Linked DNA regions of Canis lupus familiaris. Each later gene encodes a partner of the first gene's protein in a complex. Links are inferred from orthologs where the notes say so. Each region holds a gene or a part of one and is shown on either strand. Other genes may lie near its edges. The genes, in order: RBSN and RAB4A.

Region 1 (15,378 bases):
CCACCCTCATGATTCCATAGCCCCAGACCCCAGCTCCTTCCTGCTGTCTCACTCATTATTCCTCCCAGTGGCTGAGAGAAGGTGGATGGGAACATGAGACCCTAGTGAGCTGGAGGCAGAGCCAACCTCAGTGCTCACTCTCCCTGCTCCAAGCCCGTGCTATCTGATAGGGAGGAGGGCACATTTGGTGTCAGGCAAATCAGGATGGGTCCTGGCTCCACCACCAGCTTTTGAGCCAGGTGTCAGGTAAATCATTTCCACTCTCTGCACTCCAGGTTCCTCATCTATAAGGAGGAGGTAAATAATCATAGCTGAACCACCACTCCCCTACCTTGCAGGTAAACCATGTCAAAGCTCAGCTTTGGTCACATTATTCTCTTGCTCACAACCCTTTAGCAAGGCTCCCTGGCCCTTTATTTTTTTTTTTTTTAAGATTTTATTTATTTATTCATGATAGACATAGAGAGAGAGAGAAGCAGAGACACAGGCAGAGGGAGAAGCAGGCTCCATCCAGGGAGCCTGCTGTGAGACTCGATCCCGGGACTCCAGGATCATGCCCTGGGCCAAAGGCAGGCACTAAACCGCTGAGCCACCCAGAGATCCCCCTCCCTGGCCCTTTGTGATCTGGAAGTTGCCCCTTGAAACTGCCCTGGCTTGCTTCTCCTGCCCCCATCAGGTCACACCATACAGATTTTTCCTTCCTTAGTCCACACAATACTACACTGCCTAGAATTCTTCCTGACAAAGGGCCTGTCCTTTTGACTTGGAGAATCCCAGCTTCAGACTCAATTCAGTTCTTGCTCCTCCAGGAAGCCTTCTGTGACTTCCACACTGCATCAGGCTACTTCTCTGGGCTCACACCCGTCAGAGCTGGATGGTCCTGGCCTCAGAGTCCTGGGGTTCTATAGAACAGTGCATCTCAAAGTGTGGTCCAGCATCATCTGGAAACTTGCGAGAAATGCAAATTCTCAGCCCCACCTCCAAAACTACAAAATCAAAAATTCTGGGAGTGGGGGGCCCAGCACTTTGTGTTATAGAAAGCCCTCCAGGAGATGCAGGTGTTCACGTCTGAAAGCCCCTAGTCTAATCCAGTCCTCTGACACCATGCTAGGTTTCTGCACTTGAAACACCTTGTTACATGTCGGTCACATCCACTGTCACAGGGCCCCAACGCCAGCACCTGCCAGCGAAGGGAGAGGCCTGGGCACAGTGGCTGGCTCCCTGGGGTGCCTCCCACTAATGGAGATGTTAAGGTGAGAATTTTCCCCACCACATCCCCTTCTCCCATTTCCTGAAGACACTCACCCAATTTCAAATTGTAACTTTGTTTTATTGGCAAAGAGGAAATCTCAGCACTTGTCTCATTTACTTCTCATCAGCCTCGCTTCCATCCAATCCCGCCAGGCGGGGGCCTGCTGAGCTTGAGGATCAAACTACCGGTCATCTGCTTCTTCAGGAATATATTGTAAATTTTACATGGCTCCTTGCAGACACACCAGATGTGGCCTGGAAAAATACTTCTTTCTCTTCTCTTGCTCAGCACCCCACCAGTGTGATTCAGAAAGCCTCGAGTCCTAGAAGCCCAAATGTTTTCTAAATTAGTTTCTCCTCCCCTTAGAAAAGTTGTTTCCCTCAATCCTCCTCCCTCTACTTCTAGAATCTGGTAATCTTTCATTCTAGGAAGTTCTTGGTGTTTAACCCAACTCTTTCTTGCTGTCACTGGCTCCAAACCAGCCTGTGACATACAAAGAACAGGTATTTTTATTTTTTAAGATTTTTAAAAATTTTTATTTATTTGAGAGAGAGAGAGAGAGCACAAGAAGAAGGAGCAGAAGAGGGAGAGGGAAAAGCAGATTTTCCACTGAGCCATGACCCGGGGCTCCATCCCAGGACCCTGAGATCATGACCTGAGCTGAAGGTAGATGCTTAGCTGACTGAGCCACCCAGGTGCCCAAGAACAAGTATTTTTTAAAAAGATTTTATTTATTTATTTCACAGACAGAGAAAGCATAAGAGCGGGGAGTGGCAGGCAGAGGGAGAGGGAGAAGCAGGCTCCCCGCAGAGCAGGGAGCCTGGTGCAGGATTTGATCTCAAGACCCTGGGATCATGACTTGAGTCAAAGGCAGACGTTCAAACAACTGAGCCACCCAGGTGCCCCCAAGTTTTGCTTTTCTGAGTGGGCAGGTGTCACAGAAGCATCTAGCTCCTGGAGATTCAGACTGAGTGGGGGCAAGGTAGAGGCAGAGACAAATGAGCCCCGTGATTGCTCTTTGATGAAATGCTCCTGCCAGGAACACCAGGCTGGGGGTTCTCTTAGAGCAAAGCTTCAAAACTAATGACAAGACGGCAAAGACAGCACTTGCCTCCTCCTGCTGCCAACACACCCTGTTGCTGACTTAACATGCCTCTTCTTCCCCCCAAGCCTATCATCATTTTTAATACTTTAGATTTACTCAAGTAGTGCATCATTAAAAAAATGTAACATGCAGATATGTAGAGCAAAAATCGGAGTCTCCTTTTATAGCTCTGCACCTCTCAGCAACCCCCTAAGGAGGTGCTACGGTTCACAGTTTGGAGGTGGATGGCCCAGGGCCTCGCCAGTGAGGATGAGGAGGGAAGTAGGGGAGGTAATGAGAAGGCATGTTAAGGGCAGTGTGGCCACTGCTTCATGATAATCCTCGCAGGGTACATCCATCCCACCCAGAACCTCTCAGGATGGACCACACCAGAGGAGGAATCTGGACTTCCAGCTTCCCACATCCCATACGCAAGAGGTGGTGTTTCACATATGGAATTGGGGAGTGCTTTAAAACGTAGATTATATGATTATTCAGGTATGGTGAAGCCAACAGATGGAGAGAGGACTGCCATGGAAGAGTTTGGGGGGTGGCTGGCTGGCTCAGTGGGCTAAGTGTCTGACTCTTGATCTCAGCTCAGGTCTTAATCTCAGTGTCGTGAGTTTAAGCCCCGTGTTGGGCTCCACTAGGTGTAGCACCTGCTTAAAAAAAAAAAAAAAAAAAAGATAGTTTGTTATTCACAGCTCTCCTAAGAGGAAGGGGCATGCAAAGCCACTAAGGGCTGTGTGGTAACCCACCTCGTGTGTCAGGAGGGAGAAGAAGCAGGACGAAAACGTAGGCAGGAGACTTTATTGTGGCTTCTTTGGGAAGAAACTGGGAAGGCAGGGTAAGCTGGTTAGGATTGGCTGGTTTGAATAATTCCAGCAGACTCTGGGACACAGGAGCTCTCTCCAGCTGTCTGGGGTGGGGTGATTAGGGCAGAGGGATAGTGGCCTAAGGTATAAGAGCCCACAGACAAAGGAGGTAGTAGTGAAGTGGGGAAAAAAGGCAATAGAAAAAAAAAAATCAGGGCAGCCCCGGTGGCTCAGCCGTTTAGCACTTCCTTTGGCCCAGGGTGTGATCCTGGAGACCTGGGATCGAGTCCCACGTTGGGCTCCCTGCATGGAGCCTGCTTCTCCCTCCGCCTGTGTCTCTGCCTCTCTCTTTCTCTGTGTCTCTCATGAATAAATAAATAAAATCTTTAAAAAAATCAAATTTCCTTACTACTTACTGGTCATTGGCAAGTCACCGAATGAAACAGGCAGAATGATGTTCCTGTAAGAACTCCGCTGCCTCGTGTTAATACTTCACTAAGGGCAAAAGGCAATCTTAGCTTAACATTTTCCTGACCACCAAGATCCTGTGAGTCTTCTTTACCATATAAAGATTCCTTTGGAAGGGGGACTGGGTGGCTCAGTTGGTTAAGCATCAGACTCTTGATTTTGGCTCAGGTCATGTCAGGGTTGTGAGATCGAGCCCTGCCTCAGGCTTTGGGATCAGTGTGGAGTCTGCTTCAGATTCTTTCTCTCTGCCCCTCCCTGCTCTCTCTCTCTCTCTCTCTCTCTCTCTCTCACTTTTTCAAATAAATAATGAAATCTTTAAAAAAAAAATCCTTTGGAAGCTTCCTTTATCTCTACCTCACCAAGATATATGTTGACAATCATCTCCCAAGCTATGGGGCACTGATATACATCTGAAGGGTCTCATGCTTAGGTTTTATTGGACAGTCATAAATAATCTTTTCCTAACAACAGCTAGCAGGGGTCAGACCTGCATTATGGTCCAGTGATTCAGTTGCCTCCAGATGAAGTACTGGATGCCCGGTTACATTTATACCATCTGGTAAACAATGAATACTTCTTTAATATAAGTATGTATCAGATATATTGCCTATGAATACTTATACTAGAAAAGTATTCATTGTTCATCTGACATTTGGATTGAAATAGATGTCCTGTATTTTTGTCTACTAAATCTGGTGATCGTATTCTAGCTCCTTCCCTATTTTCCGTCACAGGTATTTTCCCTCCAAAATCTCTTTCACAACTAATGTCATATTGGTGCCTGCTTCTCAAAGAACCCCAACTAATGTGTGGTAAGAATTAAATGAGATAAAAACCAGAAAGATCCCAGAACAGTGCCTGGTCCCCAGGAAGTAAACATTTGCTCTTAGCAGATAGGCACAGTCAAGTATTACCAGCTGACTCGTGGACCGAGGCCTAACTCCCCGGTCTGTGCTCCCTCACTCCATAGCCCCCACCCCTACACTTAGTAGGTGCTCAAAACACATTTCATGAGAGATGTGTGCATATGTTTGCGTGTGGTTCTAGAAGACACCAGGATTGATGGTTGCTCCAGAGAACAAGTATGAAAGGAAGATTCACTTCTCACTACATGACCTTGCCTATTGTTTTATACCTATCAAAAAACTAAAAAAATTTTAAATTATTTTGAATTGAACTAAATCTATTGCAGTTTATAATACCTTGGAGCCTCAAATTGGGCAGGAGGCCTGAGTCAGAGGCCACAGTACTGCCTGAGGCCCCACACTGGTCTGAGAGGAACTAATTTGGAGGTTGCTAGGCCTCCCACCATCTCCTATGTTCCTGAAGGGACCTCTCCAAAGCTGAAGTTTTTTTTTTTTTTAAGATTTTTTAAAAAAAGATCTTATTTATTTATTCATGAGAGACACAGAGAAAGAGGCAGAGATGCAGGCAGAGGGAAAAGCAGGCTCCGTGCAGGGAGCCTGATGTGGGACTCCATCCAGGACCCTGGGATCATGACCTGAACCAATCACTGATCCACCCAGGTGCTCCTGGAGTTCTTTTTTATTTTACTTTATTTTTATTTTCTTTATTTTTAAAAAGATTTTATTTATCTATTGAGAGAGAGAGCATGAGCAGGAGAGAGGGACAGAGGGAGAGGGTGATGAAGCAGGCTCCCCACTGAGCAGGGAACCGGATGTGGGGCTTGATCCCAAGACCCTGGCATCATGACCTGAGCTAAAGGCAGACATTTAATCAACTGTCTGGCACCCAGGTGCCCCCCAAGGCCAAAGTTCTTCTATCAATGCCGAACAATGACTTTTGATTCTGGAAGACCCTGAGGATCTCCTCAATCATCCTATCACAGTGCTCCTGACCCACCTAAATTCTTCTTGGGAGGCAAAGAGATTGGCATAGAGGCAGGAGAGTACCTCCTACCTTCTCTCACATTTTACCTGCCAGCAAAAGAGGAGGCAGGGCTCCTGTCAGGGATTTGGAATCCCAGAAGCCCATCATTCAAAGAGCCTTAAAGGTCAGGGAGGATAGTAAAATTCTCCCCAACCTACCTGACACATATTTCTTCAGTTCATGCTTGCATACCTCCAGTGATGAGAACCTCACTCTCTCAAGAACAACTTTCCTTTTTTTTTTTTTTTAAAGATTTTATGTATTTATTCATGAGACACAACAGAGAGAGAGATGCAGAGACATAGGCAAAGGGAGAAGCAGGCTCTGTGCAGGGAACCTGATGTGGGACTCAATTCCAGGAGTCTGGGATCACACCCTGAGTCTAAGGCAGATCCTCAACAGCTGAGCCACCCAGGCATCCCAGGAACAACTTCCTAACCAGTACAGCTCTACTGGGAAGACGAGTTTGCTCTCTTAACCGAGACTCAGTACTATGTGACTGCCCCATGATGCCTGTACGGCTCCTTGCTCTGTCCTCTGGGCCTCCAGACCCTGAGACCTTGCTGCAGGGGACCCCTCAGGATGCTTCCTCCAGCTTATTGAGACTGGTGTCTTCATGGCCTTCTACTTGGCCAAGGCATACTCAGCCTGGCTCTCTTATACGGCCCGGCATCTAGGAATGGAATGGAGAGCCAATATGTCTTCAGAGAGCACCTACTGAGCCAAAACTTAGTGAAAAGATTGTTTTCTGGATCTGCCCTAGGTGAAGCCTGAGGAAACCGAAGTGTCCTACACATAGGGCAGCTGGTCTCCAGTGACTAGAACGCCAGGTGCCCCCACCCCAGCTCTGTGCCACTGCTACCTGGATAGCACTGGACATTCTCAGCTAAAGTTGGAGTGGGACACTGGCATCTCTATCTGCGACTCTTCTGTTAAGCCCATTCTTTCTCTTGAAAAATAAAAAGATTTATTTTTATTTTTTTTTAAGATTTTATTTATTTATTCATGAGAGACACAGAGAGAGGCAGAGACACAGGCAGAGGGAGAAGCAGGCTCCACGCAGGAAGTCTGACGTGGGACTTGATCACGGGTCTCCAGGATCACACCCTGGGCCAAAGACCGTGCTAACGGTGCCCCGCACACCGGGCGCTGGTGTTCCCAACCATTTCTCCACTTTCCAAGAGCAGTTCACACAGCTCGAATGCCTAAGATCGCTCTATATTTTAAGAACACAGAAACATTTGAGCATTGTATTTCTCGCATCCCTTCTCGTGAGCGCTAGACTTGTTTCTATTTTAGTCGGATTTTGTTTTGAAACTTTGCTTTCGTATGAACACTCAGCAGAAAAGTACTTACTTCTTGCCAGTTATCTATTAACAAAAAAAAAAAAAAAACACTTTGATTTGTAGTTTTAAAGATTAACCCTCCCAAGTTCTCTTCATAACTGCCTTGACATTTTGGGTTGTTCTGTTCTGTTAATTTTCTTTTGCTTTTTTGTGTTTTTTGTTTGTTTTTACTTTTGCATTTAAGACCATTAAATTTGATTTTGTTTTGCTCGAAAAACAAAAAAAACAAAAACAAAAACAAAAAATAACAAAGACCGTGCTAAACCGCTGAGCCACCCGGGCTGCCCTATTTTTTTATTTTATTTTTAAAAATATTTTGTTTATTTATTTGAGAGAGAGGAGAGAGAGAGAGAATGAGCAGGGGGAAGAGGGAGAGGGAGAAGCAGACTCCCTGGTGAGCAGGGAGCCTGATGCAGGACTCAGTCCCAGGATCCTGGGACCATGACCTAAGCCAAAGGCAGACGCTTAACCAACTGAGCCACCCAGACACCCCGAAAGATTTATTTTTAAAAGTAAAAAAAAAAAAAAAAGGAGGGGGGGCAGCCCAGGTGGCTCAGCGGTTTAGCACCACCTTCAGCCCAGAGCGTGATTCTGGAGGCCCAGGATCGAGTCCCATGTCAGCTCCCTGCATGGACCCTACTTCTCCCTCTGCCTGTGTCTCTGCCTCTCTCTCTCTGTCTCTCATGAATAAATAAATAAAAAATCTTTAAAAAAAAAAAGGTCCAAAAGATCCAGAGGTGGTAATTTTTACTAGTTTCTTGTAGGTTCCCCTAGAGATATTCTAAGCATTTTCCACATACTTATGCTGGTCTTGACTTGGGAGTTGTCCCATCGCCTTTCTTGATATGCAACCCTGGAAGGCACCCTCTATTCCCTGATCCCATGTACCCTGGGGTGACTCCTCCCTGCTCCCTCCCTCTCCTGGCTCTGCACAAAATGATTTTCTGTAGCATATGGGTTTAAATTTTAACAGTCTGGCCTTTATTTGTGTATTAAAGAAAACAGACTAGTACATCCAGTCCATTATTTCACATCTTCTTAGAATGAAGTTAAAATTTAAAAGTGAGTAGTATTCAAAGTAAGTAACAGGTGGTTTATAGAGAGGGCAAAATTGCACAGGAGGCACACAGACCACCCAGTGGACTCAAGGACTATGCCCAGAAGTGTTGCTGTCGCTTATAAAAAGTGGGTGGGGGTCAGGAAAGTGAGACCCCTGCTTAATGCCTGGAAAGAGCCCACCCAGTGGTTGGTAGATGAAGCCAGAGGCTCTAGGCCTGTGATCCTCAATCTTGCTGAGCATCAGAATCACATGGAGAATGTCAAAGACCCCGAGGTCCAGGTCTGTTCCAGATCAATGGGAAGATGTGAGACAAGTATCTGAATTCTTTAAGTACAACCAGGGACAGGTGAGTGATTCCCCAGAGCTCCCCTGAGCCTCTGCCACCTGTCTCTCCAGAAGATTGATGCTCCAGGGCCCCTGTTGGTGGGACAAGCCCGCATGCCCCCTCTGGTGGGATTTACAGGACTCAGGGTCTCAGCTAAGTTGGGGGAAATGCTGGTCGGCTTACATAAGCTCTGCTCCCGGCTTTATATTAACAGTTAGCAAAAGGAAGCTATTTAAAGCAGCGGCTGGGAGGCATGTGGGAGGCCACTGGGTCTGGCACATGGGCTCAGGACGCAGGCAGAAGATGATGCCCCAAATTCTGATCCTCAAAGTGCCACCCAGGCTAAACAAAAATAGGAGCAGAAAGCGGTGGCCAGACAGCACGGGGGCGTGCAGGAGGCTCTAATTAAAATGCTTAAGGCGCTTGGTGATATTCTTATTTCTCATCCCCATGCTCCCGTCTTCTGTTCATGAAGCTGAAGGTCATTCATAATTCATTAATTCAGCAAATAACTCCCGGGCCAGGTCCTATTCAGGGCTCTGGGGGATAATAACACAAATAATAGCTCACATGTATTGCATACTGACTTTTTAAAAAAGATTTATTTATTTACTGATGAGAGACACAGAAAGAGAGGCAGAGACACAGGCAGAGGGAGAAGCAGGTTCCTCACAGGGAGCCTGACGTTGTATTCGATCCCTGGTCTCCAGGATCACACCCTGAGCCAAAAGCAGATGCTAGACTGCTGAGCCACTCAGGCATCTCTGCATACTGACTTTGTGCCAGAGACTCTTCTAGGTACTTGGCATATAGTAACTCCCTGGATCTTCACACAATTACAGGTGAAGAAACTAATGCACGGAGGGGCTAAAGAACGTGCTCAAATTTGGGGCACCTGGGTTGCTCAGTGGTTGAGCCTTCAGCTCAGGTCTCTCATGAATAAATAAAATCTTAAAAAAAAAAAAAGAACTTGCTCAAATTCCACAAGTAGGGTGTGGCTGGTACATGATTAAGACAGGAGCAGCAACCCCCTTTAAAAGATTTTATTTATTTGACAGAGAGAGATCATGAGCAGGGGGGAGGAGCAGACTCCTCACTGAGCAGGATGGGGGGGCTCGATCCCGGGACCCTGAGATCATGACCTGAGCCAAAGGCAGATGCTTAACTGACTGAGCCACCCAGGCACCACTGAAATGAGTTCTAGAGGTTGATGAGGAGTTAGCCAGGCTCAGAGGGGTAGGAGAGAAGGGAAGGGCACTTCAGGCAGAGGGAATGGCATATGCAAAGGTGAGGAAGCAGGAAAACAGCACAGCTTATGCCAGAAGTAAAAAGCAGTCTGATACGAATGTGGGAAGGATACTCTTCCCCGCTTTAAAACTGTCTGGAAAGGACCAGGAGTGGCACCCTGCAGGAGCCTGGGAAGTGTGCCTGACATCCCGAATTCAAGGCTCTGTTTCAAGAACTAACCAGTGTGTTTCCAGGTCAAGGGAGGGGAGACCTGGGTGTTCTGTGTGTGGATCCAGGGAGGAGGGGACCCATGGGGGCAGGGCATGGCTGGCCTTTGCCCTGTTTCTCACATCAGCTTGTTCAAGAGGAAGAACTGGTTTTCCAGATAACCTGCCCCCATCTTGGGCTCTGCCCGGGAACATACCCCCAGTGAGGAAAAGGGAATGTGAGAGAGCCTTTTAGTCTGAAGGTCCTGGACTTCTGGGCTGGTTCCCTAAGCCACTTACCACCTGGGAACCTCAGCTTCCTCGTGAGTGAATTGGTGATGTTTTTGTAGGGTCATCATCATACGTAGGATAAAGCAAGGTGTCTGTGCTAGATGAAGCAAAGATGGGCATAGTCTCTATCCTTCATGGACTGAGTTATATAACTTCAAAATTTGTATGTTGCACTTCTAACCTCTGCTACCCCAGAATGTGACCATATTTGGAGATGGGTCTTTAAAGAAGTGATTAAGTTAAAATGAGGTCATTACAGGAACTCAAACCCATGCAGTGTCTTTAGGAGGAGAGGAAATTAGGATACAGACATGCACAGAGGGAAGACTGTGTGAAGACACAGAGAGGGGGAAGCCATCAGCAAGCCAAGGATGGGGTTCTCAGAGGAAATCAGTCCTGCCAGCAATTTGATCTTGGATTCCAGCCTCCAGAACTGTGAGGAAACAAAATTCTGTTGTTTAAGTCACCCAGTCTGTTTGTGATGGCAGCCTATGAATGGATACCTACCCCTTTGTGGTTCCTTCTCGAAAGAGATGGGTCCATTTCTCCATCCTTGGATCTAGGCCAGTCCTATGACTTGCTTTGGCCAACAGAAGGCTAAAAGACAGCAGAAGTGACAATGTGACAGTTCTGAGCTTTAGCCTACGGAGACCTTGCATGCTTCTGCTTGTTCTCTCTCTCTCTCTCTTTTTTTAAAGATTTTATTTATTTGTGAGAGACAACACAGAGAGAGGCAGATACACAGGCAGAGGGAGAAGCAGGCTCCCTGCAGGGAGCCCGATGCAGGACTCGATCCCAGGATCCTGGGATCACAGCCTGAGCCAAAGTCAGATGCTCAACCACTGAGCCACCCAGACATCCTTGCTTGCTCTCTTTTTGTGAACAAGCCCGAGCTGGCCTGATAGAAGCTACAAGACCCCATGGAGCAGAACTCATTTAACCCAGTCAAAGCTGTTCTAGACAAATCAATCCCCAAATATGTGAGAGAGCTCTGGCAAGATCCTCAGGGCTGCATACCTGGGCAGTGGCTGATCTCAGATGTAGGAGAGGGTCCAACCAAGACCGGAAGAACTGCCCAGCTGGTAAGTGGACTAGTGAACAAAAGCAAATGCTCATGTCACTGAGTTTAGTGGTTTGTTTTAAGCCACTGAGCTCAGGAGTGTTTGTTACACAGCAATAGTTGACTGACAGAGCTTCTGTAGCAAGGGAGCTCTCTCCCCAGACCAGCCTCTCAGCTCTCAGTCCATGTGGGCCAATGCCTGGCCAGAGGCAGCCTCTCTTTTTACAGAAGGTGCATGTGCACTATTGAGTTTGAAAGACTTCCCAGGAGTGGACACAGAGCTTTTAGAAAAAGAAGACTCTGGAGGTGAGAAGGCAGTGGGAGTATGAGAGGTTGCTCGGCGGTGGGGCCCAGCTGGATTTTAAATCTCACGTAAAAGTCATGGATTCAATAGCAAATTCTGTAGCACAGAGTTATGGAAATTACCTAACCACACAGACTGATGCAGGGGAGGGTGATTCCCCCAAGGACTGAAGATGTTACCAGTATGAAGGGGGTGTATGCCAGCCAGGAAAATGCAACAGGCGTCCGCTCAACAGTGATAATGATGATGATGTAGAGAAGAGACAAAGGTGAGGAGTGGGGGAGATTTGGCTACCCATAGAATCAGAGGGAAAAGAACCCTAAAAGTGTAGGGGAAGACTTGGCCTCTCCCAGACTCTTCTCTATTTTTTCAACACTTTTGTGGTCTTCTGCTCCTCACACGTTGACTGTGATTAGCTATGCTGGGCTGTCTAATCTGCTGATCAGAAGAGAATTGGCCAGAAACTCAGCCTTAAAGACCATTGTGACAAGTTGCATCCTCTTGATTCAGAGAGAGAGAGAGAGAGAGATGCTGAGGCCATGAGATTTCCACTGCTATCTTTTGCAATCCAGGGCATCACCCCCTTAGGGTGGGGTGCCCACAGTTGATACCTGGGGTGGTCTCTCACACCAGGCCAGCAAAGCTGGTGACTTGACAGCCTGGCAGAGGCTCAAGCCTGAGGCTTTCAGGGAGTGTAGACCTCATCTAAGAAAGTCTCTAAGGCAGAAAAGGCCAGCTGTGTGCTTCTCCACCATGGCATGCAACACTGGGATGTAGCTGCCCAGCCTGGCCCCACATTACCCTGCCCTCATTGCAGCTGGGAGGGGACATGTGACGGGTTCTTGTCAATGAAGGTGCAAGAGAATGATGCTGCTTCTGGGTCAGGTGGTTGAGAAGTGGGTGTATTTTTCCATTCTTTGTTCTTTCATCTCTTGGCTGGACACGAGCTCCAGGGTGACCTTAGAAGCCAGACATTGAAGCCATGGCTTGATTGTCTTCAGTCTCCAAAGGAATGAATGACTGACAAGAGAGAGTTCTTCTTCACCTCCTTCTTCCCCCACTGGCCCCACTGATCAGAAAAACTTGCACTGGCCATTACAAGTTGTTATGGCACCAAAATCCTGCAGTTGGTTTGTTAGCAACTAGCATTACCTTCCCTAGTATGGGATCCATGGCTTCACAGGAATAATGACAACAGCTGACCTTTACTGACTGTACACTTATTGACTGTACACTGTACATCAGAAACCACATGACTTGTGTTAGACATACAATCTCAGTCCTCACCACAGCTCGAGGAGGTGTGGGGTCCTCTCACCCCCATTTTACAGACATGGAAATGGTGGCTGAGAGAGACTCAGCCACCTGCCCAAGATACACATTTGTGCACTGAGTCCTTCAACAAACATTTACTGAGGGCCTTTATGGACCAGCATAGTTTGAGGCTGGGGATACAGTAGTAAATGAGACAAAATTCCCAGCCTCCTGCAGCCTTCATCCCAGGAGGAGGAAGGTGATCAGTCAACTCTGGCACGTATTCCTAAGTGAGAAAGAAAACAAATGCAAAGTAGCGACACAGAAGTAAAGGAGTAAGGATGCTGGTGAATAGCCAGGACCAGGGGGTGGGGAGTGAGGCCCCCAGAGTGCAAAAATGCGGCCAGTACTTGCACGGTCCTGGAAGTGAGTGCCCCCTTAAATTCTGCACCCTGGGCACCTCACTTGCCTCTCCTGGTCCCAGCTCTGGCCTGGGATGTGCTATTTTGATAGTGGGGTCAGAGAAGAGGTGACATGCGTGCAGAGATGAGGGAGAAAAGACATTTAAGAATCTGGGAGAAGAGTATTCCAGGCACAGGACCAGCAAACGCAGATGCCAAGAGGTGGAGCCTCTGCTTGAGAGCAGGAGCCCAAGGAGGCCATCGTGAATGCATCCCTGGGGTAGGGGATGGTGGCAAGAGATGAATCTGCAGAGCACTGTAGGCCAGGTCGTGTAGGGCCCTGTGGACCATTGTGAAGACTTTGGAGGGAGCCTTGGGAGGGTGCTGAGCAGAGGAGGGACATGACTTTGTTCCAGTAGGACCTTCCATCTGTATGAGATGCAGAGTCTGTAGGTGTTCGTGGGGTGATGGCAGAGGCAAAGGCATCAGGGAGGAGGCTGCTGCAGTCATCCAGGTGAGAGATGCCTGGGTGGTGGCAAAGTGGGCAGAAGTGGGCATATTCCAGATCCATTTCAGAGCAAAACCCAACAGGATTTGCTGATGGATTAGAAGTGGAGTGTGAAAGAAAGAGAGAAGTCAAAAATGATCCCAGGGCTTTTGACTGGAGCACCTGGCTGAATGGAGGCACTGTTCACTGTAATGAAAGGGCTGTTAAAAGAGTAGGTTTGAGCTGGGGTCCCCGAAAGGAAAGAACTGAAGAGCTCTGTTGAAGGCAGAAGGCCAGTCCAGAACATGGCTGTGTGTGGGGCCATCTGAGTTCCGCACTGTCCTCAAATGCTCAGTCCAGCCCCTGCAAGAGAAAGGGGCCTTAATTCAGCAGTGCAGGAGCTGGATGGGGGGACTGACTCTCCCACCCCACAGTGCTGGGGTCTTCACCCTCTTCTGCCCGACAGGAGGAGGGAGCCTCGGAAGACAATAGGACCCAGTAGAGCCGGGACGCCTGGGTGGCTCAGTGGTTGAGCGCCTGCCTTAAGCTCAGAGTGTGATCCTGAGGTCCCAGGATCGAGTCCCGCATTGGGCTCCCCGCAGGGAGCCTGCTTCTCCCTCTGCCTGTGTCTCTGCCTCTCTCTCTCCCTCTGTGTCTCTCATGAATAAATAAATGAAATCTTTAGGGGAAAAAAATAAAGGAATCCGTAGAACCATCCAGGAGTGGACAATCTGAGCTGTGTGCACGGCTGTCGCTTGGTCCTATGGCGCCCCCCGGTGGCTGCATCAGCTCCTCACAGCCCCCTGCTCCGCTTACTGCAGAGCCCTCCACCTCCAGCTCCCCTTCCCAGAGGCACCTACTGTTGGAATTTGTGCTTCCTTTCTGAGACTTGATATGAATCCTTGCAGCTGATACTTGTCAACCGTTCAGTTCGTGCCAAGCACACTTGGCGTTTTTGCCATCTGCATCTCTTCTCAGTACAGAAGCCAGAGGTCAGATCCTGTCCCTCCCCTACTCCAAACCTTTCCCTGGCCCCCACCTCACTCAGAGTAAAGGCCCAAGTCCCTGCAGTAGCCATGACCTGCCCTCTCCCCTTGAGCTCTCGGAACTAATTCCTCTAAGTCTCTCCCTGGCCCTCTCTGTCCCAGCTCTGTTGGCATTACTTTTTTTTAATTGTGGCAAAATACACATAATGTTTATCATTTTAACCATTCATAAGGGTACAATTCACTGGCATTAAATACATTCACAATGTAGTGTAGCTAGCACCACTATCTATACCCAAAACCTTTCCATCACTCCCAATAAAAATTCCATACCCATGAAACAGCAACTTCCAGCCACCACTCCCCCCACCCCTGGTAACATCTGTTTGACTTTCCATCTCTACAAACTTGCTTATTCTAGAGATCTCATATAAATGGAACCATACTGTACTTGTCTTTCTGCATCTGGCTCATTTCACTGAGCATAACAGAAGAGGTCCATCCATCTTGTCACAAATACCAAAATTTCATTCCTTTTTTATGACTGAATGTTATTCCATTGTATGGACAGAACACGTTTTGTTTATCCATTTATCTGTTGATGAACACCTGGGTTGTTCCCATCTTTTGGCTGTTGTGACTAGTGCTGCTAGGAACACGGGGGTTGGCCTCATTACTTTTTCTTCAATCTGCCACACACATCCCTGTCTTGGGGACTTTGAACTGGCTGTTTCCTCTGCATGGAATGGCTCATTCCTCACTGGCCTCAGGTCTTTGTTCAAATGGTGCCTTCTTTAGGACACCTGCTCTGATCACCCTACTAGATACTCTGATCCGACACTCCCCATCTTCTCTACTCTGTGCTTTTTTTCCAATAGCACTTATTACTTTCTAACACACTATAAAATGCAATTATCTAGTG
Region 2 (15,378 bases), on another chromosome or scaffold:
GATAAATAAATAAATAAATAAAATCTTAAAAAAAAAAAGGCAGAGACTAGAAAAACAAAATCCACTGTGTACAAAGGAATATATATATGTTATATATATGTACAGGGGAATATTATTCATCTTTGAAAAGGAAGGCTATCCTGACACATGCTACAACATGGATGAACCCTAAGGACATAATGCTAAGGGAAATAAGCCAGTCACTAAAGAACAGATACTGTATGATTCCATTCATATTGAGGTACCCAGAGTATCGAAATCATAGGGAGAGCAAATAGGGTGGTGGTTGCAGGACCTGGGAGAAGGGGGAACAAAGATTTGGTATTTAAGGGAGACAGTTTCATTTTTGCAAGATGAAAAGAGTTCTGGAGGTGCATGGTTGCACAACAATGTGAGTGTGCTTGATGCCACTGAACTGCACACGTGAAGATGGTTGAGATGGTAAATTTCATGTTATGCATATTTTACCACAATTTTTAAAAAGAGAATTGGCTGCTTAAAGCAAAAATAACCGCATAGTATGTGAGGTATACAACGAATGTAGAAGTAGGACTTCCACAGCATGGTTAATGGGGAGGATGGAGGTAAATGTGTTGTGAGGTTCTTATACTTTACACAAAGGCACAGCACATGTAGGTGCACCATGTGACAAGTTAAAAACCTATACCATAAATGCTAAAACAACCACAAAAATAACCTTACAAGAAGGTATTCCTAATCGGCAACAGAGAAGATAAAAACAGAATCGATAGAAAATGTCTCTGTCCACTGAAAAGGCCAAAAGTAGTGACATCCCAGTAGCAGCAAGCACAGGTATACATCTACAGCATAAATTAACATGTGAATACTTGAGATATGTGCAACTATGGCAATTACACTTCAATGAAGCTGTTTAAAATCAAAGCAGAATGAGCTGCCTGGGCAGGTACAAAGCTCTGTAGTAGTCACCACATCTTTCCAAATATATCCTCTCCTCTTTTCCTTCTGGGACATAACAAGATTGCACTCTGTTCTCTTTGAAAACGGGTCTGGGCACATCAGTTGCTTTGGCCTGTAAAATATAGATGGAAGTGATTCTACTCACTCCTGATGGGATCATCATGAGCTAATGCACAATTAGCGCTGGTTCCTTTTCCTGTCCAAGTGACGGTGGGAGTGCGTGTGCCTATGAGACTTGGGTCAACCTGGGTGCTGAGTGCTCACAATGGAGCCAGCATGAGTGGGGCAGGTGGGTCTGAGTGAGAGATGAACTTCACTGTGTTAGTTACAGGCATGTTGGGAGATCTTTTTCACTGCAGATAACTTAGCCCATCCTGACTAAACATTCCCTAGCAGACGTGTCCGATTACAGAGGTGTAGTTTTGGATGGCCTTAGAAGGCAGACTGGTCCACTGGCCTCTGAGGTCTCTTCCAACCTGAAGAGTTGTGTGTCACAGGTATTTAACAAGGTCACCTTTTCAAGCCTCTACCTACCTGGGTAGAACTTGGCTCCTTCTCAAAGTAACACCTAGATATTTCTGAGTCCTCAAGGACTCAGACACAAATTGGCTTAGGTTCTTCAACTCTAGCCACCAAGTAAAGTCACCATGCCTCACAGACTGTTGTGCTCTCTACCAAGTTTAGCTCTGCCAAGGATGCCATGTCTTTTCATTCCCAGTGCCACTGCTTTCTCTTTCTAGGCCTTTTTAGAACTCCCTTCCAAGGGACTGGATCACCTTTCTGGGTCCAACCCTATGCATAGGCGTCTGAAAGGCTCTTCAGTCATTGTTATATGCCCACTGTCTCTACAGAGAGACCACTGTCCCAACCCATGTGGTCCTCTCTACCAGTCCTGGGGAACAGAAATTGTTGTGAGGCTGGCAGCCCCCTGAAGTTCCTAATCAGTCATTAAATGTGAAGCACTGCCAGGGAGGAGAGAGAGTACCAGCTACTTGCAGGACCCACTGTCCTGAGGAAGAGTGGATAGGAAGAGTAGATCTATTTTGGAAGAAATCTTTCTCCCTTCATTTCCTGTAGACAAATCTTCAATGTGCTTAGGCTTTTGGAAATCTACTTTTACTCTATCACAAACCTCCTCTAAAAAGAAAGGAGAAAATAACTGGAGAAAACACTAATTTTGCAGTAAGCTTTCTTTTCACACAATCAACAGCACCTCAGAATGAAAGTGGTCTCTGAGGGTTTTTAGAAGAAATTTATTTATTTATTTTTTTATTTTTTATTTATGATAGTCACAGAGAGAGAGAGAGAGAGAGAGAGAGAGAGAGGGGCAGAGACACAGGCAGAGGGAGAAGCAGGCTCCATGCACCGGGAGCCCGACGTGGGATTCGATCCCGGGTCTCCAGGATCGCGCCCTGGGCCAAAGGCAGGCGCCAAACCGCTGCGCCACCCAGGGATCCCCAGAAATTTATTTTCTCTCAAAGATGCAAAGTTACTAGGATGCGAAGGACCTTTCACATTATTATTCAAAAAACAGTTCCTTCAAATCTCAGCTTGAGTATTTCCTTTTCAGTTGGCGATATCTGGCTTTTATTTGCAAATGAAATGACTTCTTTGGGTAATTTTTCCAAAACAAATAGTTTTCCTCAAAGGTCTAAGTCTCTTCATGGTCCACAGAATAGAAAACTGTTCTCAACTTTGAAATAGCAGCTTAATTTTTATTTCTATCACTCTGTCCAGATTTCAGAGATCTTGAGGTCCGGTTTCAGTCAATAACCCAAGCAATCACTGTAATCCAGTGATTCCTTTCTTACCCACAGAAGGTTCTGGCAGGAAGAAAACTTAGATCTAAAGAATGGCATCCCTGTCTTTCTTCTGAAATAGCTTCCATCAGGTTAGCCTGCTATACTCAGTAGGGTAAATCAAAACTAACAGGCAGAAAACCAAATAAGACGGCAACAAAGTATCTCAGCCATTGAACAAGAAATATATACAAAATAATTCTAGGAAATTATCATTTTCACAATATTTCAGCATGGGACCTTCTCTGTGATTTAGAAGCCAGGATGTGTTTATTTGCTATTAGGATCAGAAAGAAGAACAAAATGTAGAGCCAAATGGCCATTGGGGAAGAGGGGAAAGGCCTCAGTGAAATCTGATGCCAATTTATATGGAGGATGGAGCCAAATGGACTTGAAAAAAAAATGTATTTACTAGCATTTCCCATAGTCCAAGTTACTTAGGAGCTTAGCCAAGGCATATTTTTAGTATTCTACTATATCTTTTGAATGAAGTTGGGTCTTATGATGTGGCCCGGATCATGCTTAGATAGAGCAAACTCCCAAGCAAAATTCTCTTCGTAATATATGTTTATCTCTGCATGTCCAGCAGAAGGGGATTCTGAATTCAGTTTTGCCCCTTAAATCAAAACTCCTAACGTTAGTTGAGAACCAAGAGATGCTTCCTGCCCGTAAGCCAGACTCCCCTACAGTGGGAGGCAGAGGGGCCACCCTAGGGTGTTCCACAAGCGCTCCTTAAGCTGCGGACGGTTTTCCGCAGACACCAGCCTAGCCCTACAGGAGAGGCCCGGGAGGTGCGGGCGAAAGCTCAGTTTCCACCGCAGGCAAGCCAGGCTCCTGGCCCACCGGGCTGGTCTCTAGCAGGACAGCTGGGGCTACAGCCTCCGGGTTATACATTAACCTCCTGCCCGGGCGATCAGGACAGCTTAGAAGTCTCTTCCGGCCTTCGAACTGCTACGGACGACGACGAGGCCGGCTGCGGAGAGCCACCCGGGCGGGGCCGTCTTCCCACCGCAGGCGCTCTGCCGCCCCTGCCCAGGAGCTGGATCTCGGCGTCCCCTACGCTCCGTCACCCCACGCCTGCCGACCGCAGGGCCCTCCTCTGCCACTCGACTTTGGCCAGCTGCGCCCCTCCAGCCGCGCCCGCATCCAGCCCCGCGCCCCGAGGCCCCCGCCCCCGCCCCCGCCCCCGCCAGGCCTTCGGGATCCGAGGACCCGCCGCGAGCTGCGCGCGCACGCGCTACCCTGGCGGGGGCCGGGCCTCACCCCCTCTCCTCCTCCTCCTCCTCCTCCTCCTCCTCCTCCTCCTCCTCCTCCTCCTCCTCCTCGCGGTCGGCGCCCGGCCCGGCGGGGGGCGGGGGCGGGGGCGGGGGCGGAGGCCGTGCGCCTGCGCGGAGCCGGCAGTCCGGCAGGGCCGCAGCCGCGGGGTGGCCGGCGGTTGCCGTGGGGACGGCGGGCCCCTCCCTGCTCCGGTCCCCCGCCCCGAGCCAATCCCGCCGAGGCGCCGAGGACGACCCCGGCCCTCCCCTCCCGCCCGCGGGGCCGGAGCTGCAGCCGGTGACCCGGCGAGAGGCGGTGCCGCTCCCAAGATGTCGCAGACGGCCATGTCCGAAACCTACGGTACGAGGCCGGCGGGGCGCGGGGGGCGCGGGGGGCGCGGGGGGCGCGGGGGGCGCGGGGCCGGGGGCGCGGCGGGGGCCGGGGGCGCCGGCCGGGCGGTGTGGAGCCCACTTACGTGAGCTGCTTTTTCAAGTTTTCTCCTGTTTTTCCCCGCGCTCACACCAGGAGGGTTTTCCCTTTCCTGGTCCAGTTTCATTAGCTCAGGGTTTGGGAAGCCAGTTCAGGACTTTGCTCTGCGATGTTGTCCCCAACGAGGGATGGGAAGGACTTAGGGCGACGCCTGCATTCCTGTGTGTTCCTCGAATATTCCAGCTTGACCTTTCCTGGTTTGGAATTCCTTTCTTTGCCCTGGGATTACAATGAGAAGTAATCAATAGACTAATCCATGTCTTCCTGCGGAGACCTCTTGCCTCCTTTATTTCTGTTTCTCAATCTCTCGGGCTTTTAGTCCTTTCTGGGTTGCATTATGGCTATTTATAAATGTGCCTTTTTAAAACCATAAACACCCTGGAAGCAGAGCTCTGTTTAATCTTTGCTTCCCCTGAAGCACCCACCCCTAGAGGGGTCTCCACAGATAATTTTTCGAGTAATCGAAAGCCTTTCCAATTCATAGACTGTTTTTGGGTTTGTGGTGTTTTAGCCCTGCGAGGTAAAAAAATAAATAATATCGTACATGTCTACTTTGCCAGGCTTGAGATGTTTACCAGTCACTAATCACTTGTTCAGATGTGTGCATTCTCAGATTAACCCTTAGATTGGGAGTTTTACAATCCCAGGGAGAGGTTCAAGTTCAAAAGTATGTACCTGAACTTAGATCACTTGTGCTGGCCTGCTGCTCTGGCAACATAGGTGGAAGGGCCTGATGGAGCAGGCAGGGTGCTGGGAGGCGCTGTCAGTGCTGCAGGCGACACAACAGGCGTGGTTCTGGTCTCATGGAGCATGCAGTCTAGTGGAGGATACAGAGCTAATGCCATCGTGGTACTACAGAATGAGTAGTTAAAGCTCCAGGCTGGAGTTCTGAAGGAGTGTGCTCTAGGAAAGTATGTTGGAAGGAAACCTGGCTCAGACTGGGGAACCCAGGAGGTAGTTAGTAGCTGGTCAGCATAGCAGAACAGCAGATGCCCAGGCCTGGATGGGAGAGAGGTGGAGTTCCAACAAGGGGAGCCTAAACAGTGGAGCAGGGGTGAGGGTGTGGTGGAGAGGGCCTTTGGCAGGTTTCCACCTTTCTCCTCAGAGGTATGAGGTCACAGCACATTTGCTTCACCTTCAGCCCCTCCTATGACTTGTGTTTGCCCCATTCTTGGGGCTACTTGGGGCATTACATCTATTCCTAGAAGGCTTGGGAAATCCTCCAGGAAGTCCATGGTGCTTTAAGTGTTGTCAGAGCTGCAAATGGTCCTGTGCATCCACGTGGTCTGCTTCTCCCTTTAGATAACCACGGAGATTTTGTGAAGAAAATACATTTCTCTAGCAATTTTTTGGCTGTACTTTTGCTTTTCTTTATTTTCAAGTGCTCCTTACCCCGTACGCTTTATTTCTTGAACCTGGATAAGTAGCATTAGATAGGGGTGAAAAGTCAAAATAAAACCAAATGGGGATAATGAGTTAGTAAGGAAGGACTTGAGTTTTCATTTGTCTAGTATGAAATAGCCTTGATAAAATACTGCATATCTCTGCTTCACTTTAGACACAGTTAATTGAACTTTTGAGCATCACAGATTAACTGATTAAATGATGATCAAAAGGCTTTCACCAATAGTATTCTAATGTCATGATACTTCCCAAATATGTTTTTGCTGTTTTTACTCACAATCTCATCTTTTCTCTAGTAGAGGCAATTAGAGAAAACTAATGGAATAGAAAATTCGTTTTTGAAACAGCAAAAGTAGCAGTTGAAATTGTGAACCTAAAACAAGAATCAACCAAAAGTCCTAAACTGTCACCTTCATTTATCATTGACTGTATTTGCATAGCATTGTTCCCCAAAAGTAAAACAATCAGGTTCCGGCTTCCAGACATTTGCCTCTTTGATAGCTAGTAAAGGAATGTGTGCCTAACCTTTAAACTCCTTCATGCTCTACGCTCATTTTTCTCCTCCAGAAAAGAAGTCTCTGTGTAGCTTGACAGGGATAGGATGAAAAATAAAGAGCCAGTGCTTACACAGAGTACCACTAATTAGCTACATCTACCTGCTTTTTAGCATATTAAGGCAATGTTTCACCTTCCAGAGACTGAGTAGTTTTTAACATTTTGCTGCCCTGAAACCAATACCACATACTGTATATAATATATACTGTGCATGTAATATACCACATACTGTATATAATATTGAATACTGTATATAACATTGTAATACAAAGTTGAAATTTTAAACAGGTTTCAGATTGAAACCCTGGATTTTAATATCTCTAAACTGAAACAGTGTTTCCTAAATATTGTTAGATTTACAGCATTCTTAAAGCCTTGACCAGTTAGTATGGCTTATAACTTCCTGAGGAACTCCAACCATCCAAGACTTGGGAAGTCAGAAATCGGCTGTAAGTAATGCCTAACACCAAGACTTGTGAGACAGAATTAACAAACTGAATAGGTAGTACCAAGCAGTAATGATCAGAAAGGAGCTAAAAAGTAAGTGGTGCCTGAAATGCCAGAAAAAAAATAATAAGGAGTAAAGCAGTCTACCACTGAGGAAACATCTAAGATAAATCTCTACACTTTGGAGTTCATGGTTTCTATAGTAAATACAGTTTGTGAAACAGAAACATTACAAATTCTTAGTCTTATGCTGATTTTTATTACAATATAGTCTTACTATTTTTATTTTGTGCCTTACTTTGTTTTTGTTTTTTTAAGATTTTATTTATTCATGAGAGAGAGAGAGAGAGAGAGAGGCAGAGACACAGGCAGAGGGAGAAGCAGGCTCCATGCAGGGAGCCTGACGTGGGACTCGATCCCAGGTCTCCAGGACCATGCCCCGGGCTGAAGGTGGCGCTAAACCGCTGAGCCACCCGGGCTGCCCTTGTGCCTTACTTTGAAAGCACAGTATTAAAATATTTACCACCTAATTTGGAGAATTATCAAGATATCTTCTTTTAAAAATATATCATTATAGACTGTTGTTGGTTGAATTGTATCTCCCAAAAGGCATATTTAGGTCCTAACCCCAAGGACCTGTGAATGTGACCTTATTTGGAAATAGACGTAATGTAATCAGGTCAAGACAGGTCCTATTGGATAAGGGTAAGCCCTAATCCAGTGACTGATATTCTTATAAAATGAGAGAAATCTGCATAGATAATGCAGAGAGAATGGGATACAAAGATGCAGGCTGAGATTGGAGTGATGTATCTACAAGCCAAGAATCACCAAGAATCTCCGGCAACCACCAGAAGCTAGAAAGAGGCAAGGAAGGATCCTTTCCTGGAGCCTCTGGGAAAGCATGGCCCTACTGACCTCTGATTTTGGACTTTTAGCCTCTAGAACTGTTAGACAATAAATTTCTCTACTTTTATACCATCCAGTCTGTGGTATTTTGTTATGGCAGCCCCAAAAAACTAATACATAGGCTTTGGTAGTTAGAATACGATTCATAGAGAAATTGGGGCTTATTAGGAGAGGTAGAGTTAGGAGGTTATTTCAGGCAAAGGAAATAACATCTCTAAAGTTATGTGGTACCAATAAAGTATAAAATAACTTACTGTTAGAGAAATCACCAAGATAACCGTTACCTTGTTAATTTCTTGAAAGAGGGGCATCTGGGTGGCTCAGTTGGTTAAGCGTCTGCTTTTGGCCTGGGTCATGATCCCAGGGTCCTGGGATCAAGCCCCACATTGGGCTCCCTCCTCATCAGGGAATTTGCTTCTTTCTGTGTGTGTGTGTGTGTGTGTGTGTGTGTATGCTTTCTGTCTGTGTGCTCTCTTTCTCAAATAAAATCTTTAAAAAAAATTTTGTAGTGCTCTCTCAAATAAAATCTTTAAAAAAATTTTAGTAAAAGACAGGGCATGTAAACAAGGTTAATGAAGGAAGCATATAACATCAGGATAAAGGACATTTCTATAAATTGAATACATTTATTATGTTTAATGTTTGTATTTTTCTTTTTCTCATTTGCTGAAAATTGGTGAACATTTTAAGAACCAGAGTTTGGGGAACACTACACCAATGGGTCTGGAACTGATGGGCCTCTGAGCCCCCTGGTGTGTGAAGGTGTGGGTTCTGATACAGTAGATGTGGAATGGATGGAGGTTCCACACCTGATCAGCTCCCAGGCCAGACAGGTACTGTTTGTTGGTTCAGGGCCCTATACTGTACAATGGCTCCAATACCATAGACTTTTGAAAACATTGTTCTTTAGAAAAGTAAAAGTTTGTGATAATTTTTCATGGTCATTTAAACTATAAAGCATTTCAGTCCTTACCTATGAATGTCTCACTCCTAAACCTTTATTTCCAGTCACATTCACTCAGGTTTAATATCTTATATTAAACTCTGTACCTAACTATTCCATTTGGATGGCCTGGGGTATCCTAACACAATGTGTCCCAGACCCAACTGATTACCTACTACTCCCCAACCTTCTATTTGTCTGATGTATCCATTTGCCTAAGGAGAAAGTTAGTCCAGTTTTAATTCTTCATCATCCTGTCTCCTGAGTCCAGTTGGTTTCTGTCTTTTTAAACTGACCCCTTAACATAGTTCAAGCTACCATTTACCCTAGAAGAGACAAGGGAAGATGACGTTGGGGTCAGATTAGTGGATTATAAGGAAAAAAAAACCATCATCCCAAGGTTCTTCATCACAGTGACTTGAGCAGCGATGCTAGTTGCTACCACTCGTGGCATGGCAGCCATGTAACTGCTTAAGCAGCATCAATAGTTGGCATGAACTCACTGGGCAAGGATGGACTTGGTGGTTTCTGGTAGGGGTGTGTTGGAAGGGGTCTTGGTCAAATTTATTTGGGGACCCAGACTATTGGTAACATGTGCCACAGCTTCATAGGAATATCATAATGATTTAAGTAAATGGTTGTGCTCCTTGAAAGATGATTATGTGTCAGCATAAATGTGCACTTTACTTCTAATAATAATAATAATGGTAAGGTCTCCTTTGTTAAGGACCATATCGCCAATGTTTTTTGAAAAGTAACTTGCACTTTGGGCCCTTTGTATGAACTAGCTATTATAGAATTCTTTTGTAAGGTTCAATACTATAGTGGTCACTTGTACCTGTATATAAGCAAGCTAGTGTGTTGATGTTCTTTGCTCTGAATATTTCTTTGGAATAAGAAGAAAGCTGATATTTCTTGAATTTCTTCTCATAAACCATCCCCTAGAGATTGGTTAGACTGCTGTCATGGATTTTTTTTTCCCCCATTCCTGAAAACCCCATTAGGATACATGCCAGTGAAACTAGTTTGAGGGAAAACCTTTGAATCCTCTGTGTTCTGTAATGCTTGTCTCTGTCCCTGCTTCTCTATCAGTCTCATCTTGATAAAGGACTACGCTCTATATGTTTGAAAAATACATTTTTTTTTTGCTTCTCTGTAGCTGTATGATTTAAAAGCTAAAATGACATGTAAGGTATGGATAAAGTAAGACAAGTGTAATGAATGGCACTATAACACATAAATGAAATAAGCACTGTATAGCTACAGATTTTCTTCCTTTGTAATCCCCCTCAAAGCTTTCCAAACCAAAATAAGTTTATATTGAAGAGATTTGACCAACAGAAATGAATCCCATAATGATGGCTGTGATACCTGGAGAAAGAATGCTTTGTGGCTCTGCCCTATGCTACTCAGAATGGTAAACTCTTGTATGGCAATACTTAGTTACATCAGTCTTTTGTTTCTGTTTCTCTTATGTGCTGTGTCTTTTGCATTTTAGTCTTCAAAGCAGCTAACAATATTTAGATATGGAGCTAGGGTACACTATTCATAAAATGCTAATAAATTATGAATGAGTGGATGTATTGTAGAGGTTTGTAATTTTTCAAATATGAAATTTTAATCATGCAGAAAAAATTGGGAACTTAAAAACAAAGTATTTTTCTCTCTTGTGTTATAATTTAAAATATTATATGTAGTGTGCTCCCTTAGTTTTAATACCATTTTTCTTGTTCATTAGCTTCTGATTATTATTATAGGAGTCCTCATAAAATGAGTACTACATCTTTGCCCTGCCTGTGGGGACTTTGCATATTTTATTTTAAGTTTTATTTTTAACTCTCTACACCCGGTGTGGGCCTTGAACCCACAACCCTGAGATCAGGAGTCACATGCTTTACTGACTGAGCCAGCCAGACACCTAGGGACTTTACATATCTATTTTATAATTTGGTCAAATCTCAGTTATGACAAAGAACATTTTTCTTTCAAGATGAGACCATAAGCCCTTTAAAAGCAGTGGACTGCTAGGGTGACATTCTGTCCCTGGTGCTGTGAATGGTTTCTGGACACAGCCTCAGGGACTGCTGAAAGCACTGTTGATTCCATTTGAGGGTGGTGTTTTTCTTCTAAGTTACAGAATATGAAACGAAAGGCCAGGTTAATAGAAAACCCCACTTTAAGGCATAGTTTTCTTTATGGTAGAAGTCAATTTTTACATTGTGGGTAGTGTAATTGCAGCTCTAATTAAAACCTCTTCCACAGATCACATTTGCTTGAATTAAAGAGGTCACACAATACATCCTTTAGGAAATAGATTTTCCTTCTGAGACTTCGATTCCTAAATCAGTTCACAGTGCATGGGAGCAGAGACTTGTGGAGGTACTTTCACTGCTTTCTGGAGTTGAAGGGCCTGACTGCTGCCCACTTAAATGTACCTAAGGAGAGAACATGGTGATCAAGTGGAAGTTGGTCAACTATGGAAGTAAATAAGCTTTGAAGGCAGGTGTATCCATCAAGCACTTTGGGGGAGGAGACTGGCACCCTACGCAGTAGCCAGGGGGCTTTTAGGGGCCAAAGTAACCCTATTGTGGTGGCCGATGTATCAGATGATTTGAATCTGTGGTCACTAAACATTCAAATGTCTGGCATTTGATAGTTACCAAGTAAACAGTGGTTAAATGAACTCCCGTTGTTCTAAGTCCCTCTTACTTAACAACCTCCTCTTTGTAAATTGATTTTATGTGACTAAGAATAAATGAATTTTTAAAATTAACAGAATTTCTGTTTAATAGATGATTAGTTCTTTGGTCATTTTATCAGGTAGAATGCTTCCGGCTGCAAGTGGCAGAAAACCCAACTCAAAATGCTATAGGTAATATGAAAAGAGTTTTTTTCCAAATAACTATAGATGAGGAGGTTTCAGGGTTGGCGATTCAGAAGCTCAGCTGTGTCAGCTAGGACCTAAATGCTTCCCATCTCTCTCCTCCAGCTGGCACTGTTGGTCTCATCCCCCTCAGAGTCATAAAATGACTACTCTTTGTAATCAGGGTGTGCTTTCTTACAATATCCATGGGGAAAAAAGGAGTTCTTCCCTGCATTTATGGAGTCAAAGTCCTTCCTCTCCATCTGGGTGGGCCATGTTGGGTCAAGAGCCTGACCCTGGACCAATTATGTGGCCAGGGTAATACTTCGCACTGTGTAGCTTAAGTTTGTATGTATTTCTGATCAAGTCTCTGGCTCAGAATGACCATAATTGGCTTAAATAACCAAAGTCTGTCTCCAGTTTTGGGGTCATGTCTACCTGTTACTTTGGCTTCTTGGGGAGTAGCTGTTAGGCAGAATATTTACTACAACAGTGCCTACTACAGTCTCCAAAAAATGTAAGCTACAATTCAGTTTCAATCATTTGTTCCAGGCAGTGATCTTCCTGAAGATGATGGACTTAAATGTTCTTCAAGGCCTTTGCTTCTCCAGTGAGGAAGTAGTGAGAGAAAGCAGCACAGTAGGAGAGAGAGCATGGTGTCTGTCTATGTCGGCCATACGCACACACATTAGAATCCCTTGTCTTCTTAGAAAAATTGAAATTTCTCTTGTCATTTTGCAAACACGGTAACTTACACTTGTCTTTAGTTCTTATTGTTTGGTGAATGTGCTAAAAATACTTGGTGTTTTGAAGACTGACATTCCTTTTCTTTTTTTTTTTTAAGATTTTATTTATTCTTGATAGAAAGAGAGAGTCAGAGACACAGACAGATGGAGAAGCAGGCTCCATGCTGGGAGCCTGACATGGGACTCGATCCTGGATCTCCAGGATCACACCCCGGGCCAAAGGCAGGCGCTAAACCGCTGAGCCACCGAGGCTGTCCCTGACATTCCTTTTCAGAGTCACTGTGACCATGGTAATACTTTGGGAGCAAATGGAACTTGGCTATTTGGTGCCCATTGCTATTTTTCCACTTCTCATATATTAGCACCTTGAGTAACTTGTCATAAATATGTACATAACATAGGATACTACACCTTTATAAGAATAAAGTCCATATTGATATTAAGGTGTCTTTTGTTATTATGCAAATAAGATCCTTTAATGTTTACAACTATAAAAGCATTATGAATTAGAGTATTTCCTCTGGTGTGTATTATATAATAACAAAGTTCATTTTCCCTATTACATTTTCCCAAGAACGGTATTATTTCTAGCTATTGCATGACTAAAGAAGTTTGTTGGGTGTGTACTGGTTGAAGATTCTTCTGGTATTAAGCTATTGTTCTGTTTCCATGATTATACTGGGAAATTTTTCCTCATTGGTGTCCCAAGGCTGAATGCTAACTCTTACTCTAGATAAAGGGTGAAGTTAGAATAGTGTACACAGAGTACTTTGTGTCCAGTGTCTCGGATCCTCACTGGGGCCCTCTTCTGGGTGAGGAAACAGAGGTTTGGTACTCTGCCTCAAGTCCCAAAACTGGGAGATGGAGAGCCAGAATTTGGAATCAGCTTTGCCTTGCATCACATTCTCAAGGGCAGTCAGGTTTTTAACTCTGCTTCTCTGTCTTATACAGAAATCTCCTCCATAAAACCTCGGGTCAGTGGTGACCCAGAAGAAACATTCCCACTGGATGTCATTACTCTAGCGCATGTTCTAGACAACCAAAATCTGTCTCCAGTTTTGGAGTCATGTCTATGGGACATTTAATATGAGTCAAAATCTTTCTCTGAACTCAGCATAAAGGGGGAGAGTAGCAGGGACCAAAGCTCATACCTCCCAAACTAATGCGGAAGACCTTTAACATTTACAAGGGATGCTTTCACAGATCTGTGTAATCTCTAAAATTTCAAATACTGTAGTATTTAAGTCTGGCTCAGAGTCAGACAGTTCAGAAAGACAGTATTTTGTATATGTATTCTCAAACAATCAACCGTTCAACTTCTCTCTTTGAATTACACTAGTTATAGTGTTCTCGGAAACATTTCACAAACGACTTGTCCTTCTTAATATAATTTTATTCTCTTGTATCAAAATCAAATGGGACATCCTACTCTTTGAAGTATCCAAAACTTGTTGCACACTTAAGGGTGATTGTTTTTATTAGGTCTCTTTGTGTGCACTGCCCTGGCCACTGACTTCTTTTTTTGGACAGTTTTCCACTTTAGGAGAATTACTTCTTTTTTGTATGTGATTATATCATGTAGAAAGCAACTGAGAACTTGCAGTTTCGAGGGCGGGTGTCTAGCTAGACTCACTCACCTGCAAACTACTTGTGTCCACACACCTGACCCATAGTAGGTTTGATCCAGGTGAGCTCTTCAGCAAAATCACAGATTCTATCCCAGACCTTGAGCAGTCATCAGAGTCTGTGCTGCAAATGTGAAATCCACAGATGTCACAGATCCTCTCTGCTGGCATTTCATCGAGGCTCGGGCAGGCCAATGGAGTCCTAGAGTTAGGCCTTATTGTCTTTCCCACCTGCCTTTCCTCATTTTACCTGCCCTCCACAGATCACATGTTCTTCCGCTGCCCAAACCGTCTCCCTCTCCTAGGCCCTCTCCTAGGCCAACATGTCACCAAGCTCTTTGAAGCTTAATTCCTCTCTGACCAGTGTACCAGAACATTTTTTTTTTCTTTGAAGTGTTTGCCGTCTTATGTTCTGAGCTCTGTGAGCTCCTTCTCATTGCTGGTTACTTGCTGATCTGGGGGTTATTCCTTATTCTACACGTTCACCTGGCATAGGATCTTACCCTCTGCTCCAGCTCCTCCCTGCTCCTGGGTGACTACTGTATCCATGCAGAGAAGCCAGTCAGCAGCTTAGTGTCTGGTTCCTAACTTCATCTCTAGGCACCTTCTCTTCTGCCCCTACCCGAGGTACTTACTTCCCTGGCTGGTCAAATGTCCCATTCTGCTCACTCCCACCCAGTCTTCACTAGAACTGGAGCCTCCTGGGCACCACCCCCCACCTTCTGTCAGGTGATGAGCTGCTCCCTCTCCAGAGAGGAGGACACCATCAGCCTTTCCTTCCACCTCTTCCTTCTTCGTCCTTCAGCTGTATGTGCTTTGCAAATTCCCATCCCTGGCTTCCCAACCTGTCTTGCCTGCTGCTGTACAGACAGAGCTCTTTCCATTAAGTTCGCTATGGATTTATGGTCTGCCCTCAAGGGACACTCAGTAGTGCTTAGCTATCCTCTCTCTTATCCTGGTCATCCTGCCCTTTCGCTCCATCTGCTGTTTTAAGCCATCACTAATCTGTTCAAGCCCATTTTCTCATGTCCAGCATGAGAGGAAAGAAGAACATGCTCTCTCTGCTGAGGAAACTACCTCTCTTCCCCTTCCCTTCTCCAGCCTGTGAAGTTACTTACCTCCACACTCAGCCTTGATCCTTCTCTTAGGGTGTTGGAGGAAAAGAGGCCTCTCTTCTTCTAAGACCAGTCCCTGCCTTCCTCTTTGGACCTCATCCCTCAAGTTTTCAGACTTAACCACCAACCATCCTTTCTTTTGCTCCTGGTAACTTCCATTTTGTTTGCCTTACACTCTAATTCCCCTGAACACTCCACCACTTCTTTCCATTACAGCCAAGCTTCTTGTAAGGATTGTCAGTACTTTTTATCTGTAGCATCCTGCTTCTTAAATCTTCAGCTGGCTG

Evidence for each region.
Region 2: the proteins of RBSN (region 1) and RAB4A are in contact, whole or in part, in a crystal structure (PDB 1Z0K), measured with the Homo sapiens proteins. The link is inferred for Canis lupus familiaris from reciprocal best matches to the Homo sapiens genes RBSN and RAB4A. Residues at the interface, in NP_001289307.1 of Homo sapiens: Glu441, Gly442, Trp443, Leu444, Pro445, Ser447, Glu454, Pro458, Leu459, Gln461, Gln462, Asn465, Ile466, Phe469, Asp480, Glu481, Thr484, Leu485, Asn488, Leu492, Glu495, Gln499; in NP_004569.2 of Homo sapiens: Tyr10, Leu30, His31, Ile34, Glu35, Ile46, Gly47, Val48, Glu49, Phe50, Gly51, Ser52, Lys53, Lys63, Gln65, Trp67, Arg74, Phe75, Ser77, Val78, Ser81, Tyr82.

Annotation. Positions count from the first base shown.
Region 1 is NC_049241.1:5,264,166-5,279,543, reverse strand, and holds the start of RBSN (rabenosyn-5), read left to right. Parts: upstream 1-7,961; 5' UTR 7,962-8,261; intron 8,262-15,378. UniProt on the Homo sapiens protein: Rab4/Rab5 effector protein acting in early endocytic membrane fusion and membrane trafficking of recycling endosomes. Required for endosome fusion either homotypically or with clathrin coated vesicles.
Region 2 is NC_049225.1:10,356,626-10,372,003, reverse strand, and holds the start of RAB4A (ras-related protein Rab-4A), read left to right. Parts: upstream 1-6,812; 5' UTR 6,813-6,831; coding exon 6,832-6,892; intron 6,893-12,157; exon of another isoform or gene 12,158-12,351; intron 12,352-15,378. UniProt on the Homo sapiens protein: The small GTPases Rab are key regulators of intracellular membrane trafficking, from the formation of transport vesicles to their fusion with membranes.